2 linked regions of the Drosophila melanogaster genome follow. The protein of the gene in region 2 interacts with the protein of the main gene of each other region in a biochemical or structural test. Each region holds a gene or a part of one and is shown on either strand. Other genes may lie near its edges. The genes, in order: Ubqn and Rpn12.

What was found.
Region 1: the proteins of Rpn12 (region 2) and Ubqn form a complex in vitro, tested with the Drosophila melanogaster proteins (one study listed by BioGRID).

Annotation. Positions count from the first base shown.
Region 1 is NC_004354.4:19,682,050-19,688,692, reverse strand, and holds Ubqn (ubiquilin), read right to left. Parts: upstream 4,886-6,643; 5' UTR 4,693-4,885; coding exon 4,597-4,692; intron 4,254-4,596; coding exon 2,783-4,253; intron 2,704-2,782; coding exon 2,627-2,703; 3' UTR 1,035-2,626; downstream 1-1,034. Other genes in the region: CG14227 (uncharacterized protein), read left to right, coding at 68-110, 177-361, 430-830; dome (domeless), read left to right, coding at 5,723-6,643.
Region 2 is NT_037436.4:16,581,260-16,584,522, reverse strand, and holds Rpn12 (regulatory particle non-ATPase 12), read right to left. Parts: upstream 1,496-3,263; 5' UTR 1,424-1,495; coding exon 629-1,423; 3' UTR 501-628; downstream 1-500. Other genes in the region: UQCR-C2 (Ubiquinol-cytochrome c reductase core protein 2), read right to left, coding at 79-123.

The sequences.
Region 1 (6,643 bases), on a different chromosome or scaffold from region 2:
TGAGTGTTTGTGCCAAATGATGAGTGTCTTATTTAGCTCACGCAAGGCTAAATTTTAACCATTCCAGGATTTGTTTTGACAGCAGCACATTGCGTATTTAGAGAAGCCATGTAAGTCCTGCCCATTCGCCAGCATATGTGGTGGTCATCAGCCCATTACCCAATCTCTCCCTGTAGGCAGGTGCACTTGGGTGATTTCGACGCCTGGAATCCTGGACAAAATTGCAGCTCGGGTGCTCGCTTATCAAACGCATACTGCGTTCGGATCGACAAGAAGATCGTGCACGCCGGATTCGGCAAAATACAAGCCCAACAGTACGACATTGGCCTACTCCGGATGCAGCATGCGGTGCAGTATTCAGGTAATTGAGTGGGAGATATCCAGTCGTTGCCCTCGAAAGTCTCAACCAGAACTGCCTTTCCCCTATAGACTTCGTGCGCCCCATTTGCCTGCTCATCAATGAGCCAGTGGCGGCCATCGACCGATTCCAGTTGACCGTCTGGGGCACCACTGCAGAAGACTTTCGCAGCATACCACGGGTGCTGAAGCATTCCGTTGGGGATCGTATCGATCGCGAACTCTGCACCTTGAAGTTCCAGCAGCAGGTGGACGAGTCGCAGATATGCGTCCACACCGAGACGAGCCACGCATGCAAAGGGGATTCCGGTGGCCCCTTTAGCGCAAAAATTCTCTACGGGGGCACGTATCGCACCTTCCAGTTTGGCATCATCATCTTCGGCTTGAGCTCCTGTGCGGGCCTAAGTGTCTGCACCAATGTGACTTTCTACATGGACTGGATCTGGGATGCTCTGGTTAACTTGTCGGCATGAGGACATAAGTTATAAGTTATAAGTGTATAAGTTATTATAAACGTTTAAGCTGCAGTAAAGATTTGGAATAGCAATTAGAAAGTACTGCTTACTAAAACTAAGCCAGAGTGGGTGAGCTGCTTTATTTCGGATGCCTTTGGAAGTAAATGAGATAGTAGAGAGTAATAGACGAGGTTGGCTATAATCTAAAACCAAAGTAGCTTTATTACGTTTTCAAACATGTGATCATTTACATTTAATTACTTTGCCTCACTTCCTTCACTAAACAAATAAACGTAGTTCCACTAGTCCACTAGCCCAACTGACCAACCAACAACCCGGCCAGCCAGCCAGCCGGCCAGCCAGCCAGCCGGCCGACCAGCCAATCCCACAGCGGACGAGCGAGGCTATGTGGTGGTAGCACTTACAGGGTATACACTGAATCCATATCTTATATAAACGGTGAGCGCGCGAAGGAAAGCTTTTCGAAAGTGTGTGTGTGTGTGATTGATCGGAAATGGGAACCCAAATGGTCGGTTATAGGTTTTATATACGAAAGCTTAGAGTAAATTACATTACAAGTTATTATTGGGGCTTCCTCTCTTTACTAAGGAGTTGGTTTTTTTTTTTTTTTTTTTTTTTTGTTTTATAGTTTTACGTCTTTTGTTAACACCTTGGAATATTTTGATATATATATATATATGTATATACATATATATATACCTATATACACACATTAACTTACAGTAGATATCGTTAGCATGCAAATCGCTTGTGTGCAACAACTTTTTACATTTGTATTCCTCTGAACGGGATGTGGGATAAATAACGCTTGGAGATTGCTCTTATATTAACGAATCGATAAACATTTTGATTGACTACAGCATACTCGCGCGTATGTTAGGATTCCCCCAAGACAGTGTCGTCTTTGCATATAGCCGATATCTACTGTACGTTTGTCCTGTTTGCAGTTGTTTGCAATTTCCAGAACGTTTTCCGATCGCGAGAAATGGAGGGGGGGGGGAGTCAGAAGGACTGCGGCTATAGCCCACGCCCACTAGCACCCGACTAAAACTAAACTGCCTGACCAGAACACAGGATATATACTACGCCTCTGATCTCTGTACCGATTCTTTTTTCTTAAACACAAAACTGGAATTCGCATCTGTTGGCGACAAAATAGTTATTACATTATCAATGACAAAAGTGCACATTCCCGCTTAACTTTATTGAAAATTAACGAAGTTCTCCGATAAAGAAATGCGTTAAGTATTTCGATTGAAGTTGTTGGGCGTGCAAAACTATGCATTACGTGAGCAAAGTATGCATATTCAAGTTGGTTTTCGGCTAACGCATTTCCGCTTAAAGGATTCTCCGAGCTCACGAAATGTAAATTATTTAAAAAAAAAAAAAATCTGATATCAACTACGAAAGTGCTAACACTTTGGTATGCGATCCCTATCTAACATTCTCACCGGCGTCATTCATATCACCCACCTATATCTAGTATCTCTCCGATCTCGAGGCAACTATGCTCGTTTGGAGCCATCTTTTTGTGTCTTGGGGGTGTTGGTATGTTGGCATGTGGCTATGATGGATTCCTGACATTTCCGGCTTGATGGGGAAACAAGCGATCAGCAGCGCTGACCGTGGAATTTTTTGGCGGAGGGTGTGTGTTTGGGTTTAGGACCTGTCCTCCTAACTAGTCGTGTTCTCATTCGCGTTCTCCAGGGCCGTAGTGGTATATATAGTAGTTGTAGTTCGTAGATATATAGACAGGTTGTGTACAGTTTGGTTATGGCTATGGCTTAGCCTTGTTAACTCAAGGACAACTGGTTGAGGGACAGCAGTCGCTCTACCGCCGCATTGATGTCCCCGAAGGTAGCGATCAGAGCTGCAAACCAAACACAAGAGAGCGGATTAGAATCATCGCACAGGGCAGGCGACCCACCAAGACCCACTAGGACACTCACCCTGCAAGTTGGCATCACGGTTGACAAAGCCCATGGCGTTCAGCTGCTCCAGCTGCGACTGGTAGCGCACCTCCGGCGGCTGTGTGTTGTCCGCGTTGTTCGACATCCCGTTGAGCATGCGCATCATGAAGTCGTTGAAGAGCTGCGCGTTGGGACCACCGCCCGGGGCCAGGTTTGGAGTGCCGGTGCCGGCGTTGAGGCCGCTGCTTGGCGAAACATTGTTGGTGCTGGCACCGCTGTTGCCCCCGCTCCCATCGCCGCTGGCTGGATTCGTTCCGGTGCCGGCACCCGGTGGTGGCGGTGGAATGCCCAGGGTGCCAACGAGACCTGGGGCCGCGCTGCGCAGCTGCTCCATGCCCTGCTGGATCTGCAGGATAGCGTTCATTGCATCCGGATTGGTCAGCATGTTCATCACCTCGGGGTTCTGCATTTGGGCCATAAACTGCGGCATCATCTGACGCACCTGCTCCTGCAGGGCGGGATTGTTAGACATGAGCGGACTGCTGCTCAGCAAGCGCGCGGCCATGTCCGGGTCCTGTGACATGGACTCCATCATGGAACGCGTGTAGGGCGCGTTCAGCAGGTTCTGCATCATGGCTGGATTGTCGGCCATCTGCTGGAGCAGGCTTCGCATGGCCGGCGTGTTGAGCACATTGTTCGGCGGCAGATCCCCCGTCGGATTGCCGGCGCCGGAGCCACCGACTGTTCCATTGGTTCCCGAATTGGCACCGCCCCATGGATTCGGCAGGGGATTGCGGTTCTCGGTGCCCTGCTGCGGGTTGTTGCCGGCTCCTGAACCGCCGCCGTCGACCAGGCCGGCAAAGGGGTTGCGACCAAAGGATTCCGTGGCCGCGTTCATCATTGGCTCCTGAATATCGCGGTAGATGCGCTGCAGGGCGCTATAGCCGCCCGGCACCGACTCCAGATTCGACATGGCGCGGTCGTGCGAACGCATCAGCTCCTGCAACATCGAGGGATTGCGGGCCAGCTCCATCGTCTGGCGCAGCAGGTCCGGATTGTTAAGCATATGCGAGATCTCGGGGTTGCGCTGCATCAGGTCATGCATTTGCGGATTGGACGTGATAAGCTGACGCATGGTATCCGGATTATTCATCATCTGCTGCACCATCGGGTTGTCCATCAGGGAGCGCAGCATGTCGCCATTGTTGAGCAGCTCGTTCTGCATGCGCGCCTGCAGATCCATGAACGTGTTCGATCCGGCTCCAAGTGCCTCCATTCCGGCCAGGCCACCGAATTGATTGAGGCCAAAGGGCGTTTGGCGCACGTCAGCCGGCTGTCGGGCCGGCTGCTCGTTGTTGCGCGTCGGCGCCTTAATCACCAGATGCACCGTCAGGTTGTCCTTGATGTTGTGCATCTGAAGGGTGTCCGTGTCCTTCATAATTTTGCCGGCAAAAATGAGCACGAGCTGCTCGGGCTCCGCCTCGAACTTTTGTGCAACCAGAATTTTGAACTGTGGGGCGAGAATGGTGTGATTGTTGTCATTATTATGTGCCCATGGTCTAGTTTCCCCTTTCAATTAAATGTTCGCTCCCATGCCTCTGCTTCAATTTATGTGTGTTAATGGGAAGAAGACCAATCACTGTGCAAAGTGCACTGTACCAGCTGCGCGTGTTGTGTGCGGCTTAGGCAAAGTGCACTGTACCGCGATTACGGGCACTAATTTCCCAATACTTTCGGGGGTGTGGGCAAAGAGCAGGGAGGGAGGGAGGTGGTCCATCGCTATGAATGGAAGGGTCCAGAAGGGTTTGGGGTACCAGCAACCAAGTCAGGCGGGTCACGTGCTCCGTACTCACATCTTTTATTCCAGAATCTTCGTCAACTTCGACCGTTTTCTTGTCCTTTGGCGTTTTTACAACCACGTTGATGCGCTTGCTGCCGCCTTCCGCCATTTCGATGGTGTATTTGCGGTGTTCTCGTTTAGCTTAATTTGCACCGATGTAGCTGGTTCTTTCGAGATGTTATCACGTCTGTAATTTAAATGTGTTCCGAATATATACGTGTTTTCACCCTAAATTATTTCCCATTTGATGAAAAGTAATTCGTCACTTTCTCACTCACACGGACACACACACACTCACGATGGATTTCGATTTTGACTCTTACACACGCCAGGGCTGACGTATCAACCACCAATCGATGAATCGATAGCGGCCAATTGAACGCTTTGAACGCGTCCAAAACCGCTGCCAAGTAGTTTGCTCTGCTTGAAAACGTATTCGGCAGAGGGCGTTCTAGAGATACAAGCAACGGGTGGCCTAGAATTCGAATTTCGGCTGAAATGCGATGTTTGGCACCTATCGCATTTAGTGGGGCCGTTCGTCGACAGGTAGCCCCAGTGATATCGCATATCGGACTGCGATAACTTTCGATAAGCGGTCACACTGCGGACAAGCAACTCGTCGACAACATATATCGTCAGCATCGCGAGCGGGGGCAGGGAGGAGAGCGATCGCCTTAGCCAACTGAGGATTCTGCATTTGCGAGAGAGCCAGAGACAAAACAGTAACACGGTACCACAGTTGCTCGAAGCGAGCAATTGGCATTGCAAGGCCCTGATAGCCCTATTCGTAATTTAGTCGTAGTGAAGCCCCGGACAAGAAGCCCACACCTGGGCAGTGAAATGTTTAAGAGCCACTTCCAGGAACGCAGCGTATAAACGGTTTCCGAGAACTGGCCACCAATACACAGCCAACAAGTGCGAGGCCAACAGCAAGGTGCTCTTGTGTGTGTGAGAGAGCGCCGTTTTGGTGTGCGCGCGTGTGTAAGAGCGAGAGAGAGACAGAAAGAGAGGAAAAGAGCTAAAGACAGAGAGACAGAGTGGGAGAGAGAGAGAGAGAGAGCCAGAGTAAACCTTAACAGCAAGGGAAGGAGGGGATTAGGATTAGGATTAGGATTGGGAGCAGAACCAGGACCAGGAAGATGGTGGCCCAGGAGCAGCTCGTCCTGCTGCTCATGCTGCTTGCCGGCTGCCGGGGTGGCGCCAACGCCATCTTGGATCCTGGCTGGGTGATTCCCTCCAAGGTGGAGCAGCTCATCGGCGGCGACTTTAATCTGAGCTGCACCCTCAACGAAGACTACTTTAACGGCAAGAGCGCCGAGGACTGCCCGGTGGAGAAGCTGTACTTTACAGGCGGCGGCCGCGTCTACCGCGATTCCAAGCACATCCGAATCCTGAACAACACCACCATCCTGTTTAGCGACACGAATGCCGTGGAGCAAGAGAACGACTACCACTGCATGTGCGACGAGTATGTGATCAACAAGTCAAAGGTCTACGTGGGCACCAGGCCGCTCCTGGTGCGCGACTTCAACTGCCTGGACTACGACTTCCAGTTTATGGTGTGCAACTTCACCCAGCCGCCCAACACGGTCATCACCAAGTACAACATCAGCTACAACACCAACAACGACTGGCGATATAGCAACACACTGGACTGCAACTTCGACTCGGCGCCAGTGGTCACCTGTAACCTAACCGACGACAACTACAAGCGCTTCAGCGAGACCTTCTACTTCCGACTGTCCATCTCCAATGCCCTGGGCCACGAGACGCAGCCGATCACGATCAATCACTTTGAGCGTCTGGTGCCGGCGCGACCTGGCCAGAACCTGACCCTGCTCAACAGGACCGAGAGCTCCGTGTGCCTGTCGTGGGAGATGCCCCGTCGGTCCAACTACAATCGCGGCCTGGTGTGGCAGGTGCGCGTCACGCCGCAAAACTTTGAGCCCATCACGCGGCCCAGCTGGCGAAACCACACGCTGACCATCAAGGACACGCTCTGCCTCACGGAGCTGCCCTTCGCCGGCTACAACTACACGCTCCGGGTGCGCGTGCGCGCC
Region 2 (3,263 bases):
GGGGTGTTTTACGTAACACGAGCCTTCCGCTGGGAAGAATCGCTGCCGTAACTATTTGTTGGTTAAGTCGAGACTTACGGCGATGGCGCGCAGGAGCGACGTCTTGCTAGCGTTACAGGCCATGGCGTGGATTATGCTACAATTTCTTCTATTTGCTTTCTAAGCAATTTTTTACAAATATTCGCAGAGCGAAAATTTTTACGGTCGTTCGCGCTAGTGTGGCCGTCGCACGGGGTTCAACTAAGCCCTAGTTTTTCAATGCGCTCCAAAATGGTCACACCGAGTACCAGCTGTGACTTATGGTAAGTCACGGGATTTTCGAAATATCGTGATCTTGAATAATTTGACTAAGTGAAAAAATTTAACAAATGTTTTTCCTTGGCAGTTACATTCATACAGAAAAATGTATAAAATTGTTAGTTGTACTTTTACAAAATTATCCGTGAAAAGTTAATTTCAAACTGTTGCTAGGTTTGCAGAAATAATATACTACTGGCTTAGGAGTTTTAAATTTAATTTCTTGTTGTTTTCAATGTAATTACATATTATTATAAAAATTGTGGTATCCAGCGTGTTAGAACTGTTTTCTTAACCTTACTCTGTCGTTTATTAACGGCTGCTTTGCGACTTAAACTATCATCTCGAGGTCGCGGGCGTAGCTGAGCACCTGCTCGGCGAGTTCCTCGGAGGGCAGGAGCTCCTTGGGTTTGACGCTACGGTCCGTGAAGCTGTAGTCGCCGCTAGCCTCCAGTTTCCATTGACGCTTCGCGCCGAAGGCCTTGATCTCGTCGGGGACGCGCAGGTTGAGCCGCTTGGCTGCATCCTTGGCGGAGATCTTGTCGTAGGACTTCTCGATGCAGGCACCAATTTCATCGCGCACCGTTTCCAACAGAAGATCCATAAAGTAGCTATACACCTCGACGGGCACCGTCGACTTGGCCTGAAAGATCTTGTTGTAGCGTCCCTCCATGATGTACTGCTCGAGCGCCAGGATGGGCCGAATGAACTGATTGTGCTGGATGACGTCCACGGAGAGCAGCTCCAGTTCCGTGTGAAAGTCGGATACCCGGTTGCCAGACAAGAGGTACAGCAGATTCAGACCGAGCAGCTTATACTTGCTCTCCGATTCGCCAATGATCTTAGCGTAGTCATAGTAATAGCACTTCAGCTGCGCCATGTAGCGCTCGAAGGCGAGCAGGTCCTTGCTGAGCACGCTATGCTCCACGGCCACCTCAAGCACGCTCCTAGCCAGGATCAATTGCTTCTTGGAGCTCTGGGCATCGTTTCCGTCCGTCGGCAGGAAGGCCATCTTCACGAGCGCTACTTTCAGTTGATCCAGCAGCTGGCCGCATTTGACGGTGTTTGGTGGCCGCTTTGACCACTCGGCGGTCAGTTCTTTGTACAGCGATTCCACGTTGGCCATTCTTTAGATTGGTATATTGAAGCTTAAATGTTTTCTGCAAATTCCCAAGATGATTTTCGCTTTTTTTTAGAGATGGCAATTGTTGTAGGGTAAAGCGATAGGACAATCGTTATCGGAACAGTTATCGATTGTCAAGTTACCACAGGGCTGGGAATATTATTTAAGTGTAAGTTTAAGTTGAAAAATACATTTTTTAGACGAACTCTATATAGTTTAACAGTTTACAACTGAAAGCTTTATGATTTGATCCAAGGGGTATTGTATTTCCTTTGTGCTTTAATATCGATATATTTTAACAAACTATCTAATGGAGTTTAAATCTAAATTTTCGCATTTAAGCTCGGACTGTTTATTCAATTAGTGATTGTCTCAGTATAGTTAAAAATTTCGGGTATTGAAATCACGTCTATTTGACCTTGGGCATAAGTTTTGTGTCAAGAATAACTTAAATTATTAAGCGATTCAGAACTCTCATTCTTTGTGGGTCTTTAGATGGTACCGCAGTTGCGTGTTCGTGAAATAGCTTTTGGAGCACTTGGTGCATGGGAACGGTCGCTCTCCTGTGTGGCTCATCATGTGAATTCGAAGATGCGCATTCTGGGTAAAACGCCTTAGGACATTGGGAGCACTTGAAGGGGCGTTCGCCTGTGTTGATTATTAGATGCCTTTTAAGATTGGAAGCCAGCGTAAAATTCGATGTACAATGGGGGCACCGTTTTTCAGTGTGTATTGCAATATGTCCCGAAAGATGCGATACGCTCTTCAAAGCCTTTGCTGCTAAGCAGCAAGTGCTGCTTAAGTGCTGAGTTTATCCAAAACCTCGTTGGGCAATGAGGACATTGAAGCAGCTTATCATTATCACGTCCTTTATTTTGCAATCTATGGTTTTCACAACTATCATAGTCTTCGTCTATTACCTCAATATTGACTTGGCTATTGGATTGATCGCTGTCACAGTCCACGAACTGATCATCGTCTTTAAAGAGGCTCGTTCTACACTAGACAACATTCCCATTGGATCATGCCACTGCCTCGCCAATCTTCAACTACACTTTCGAGTTCGACAAAATGCTGAAAAGCACCTCCATCGATACTCGATTCCCCATCCTCGGAATAAGATACCTTGCGGAATCGGGATTCCTCCATTAACTAAACGTAAAATTATTAGCTCCTCTGGTGGGTTTTTCTAAACTCGAACGCATTTTGTGCATCTTGGCAGCAGGAGGTGCAAAATGTTTCGGGTAGATGATCGCCTTTTTCCACTTTGAGGCCAGTGCACTCGGAAATGATTGACGCTATTGAAGCTTCAGTGCCGTGCTTAACTTCAAAAATATTGAACTCGTTTTCACATTGCCCGAGGCAAATTCGGCACACCAACCCCAACTCCATACCTCCGAAATTGAGTTAAAAAATTTAGCGATCTCGCTTTCAGGTCGGATCGATCAATTTATTGTTTGTTTATTGTGTTAAAGATGCATGCTGATAAGTATCGATACTATCGTGCGGTTAATGGGGACGATAGGTACAACACCACTCACAATAAAGTATTTTTAGTGGAAAGTATAAAAAGAAGACTTCAATTAAAACAATAAATACAATACAATTACATTGGAAGTATTCTGATTGCATTGTGAATGTTGGCCACAAAGTATGAAAACTTTTTTCAGCTTTACTGAATTTAAATATTTCTTAACCATTTCGTTCGCTTTCAGAATAATATAATACCCAGAATGACTTCATAAATTTTATCACATCTTAGTTTGAATGTACACCTTTTAGCGATAGTTTCATGTTTCGGCCTGTGCTGCTAAGCGGTGATTCGCCTGCGCTTTCCAACACA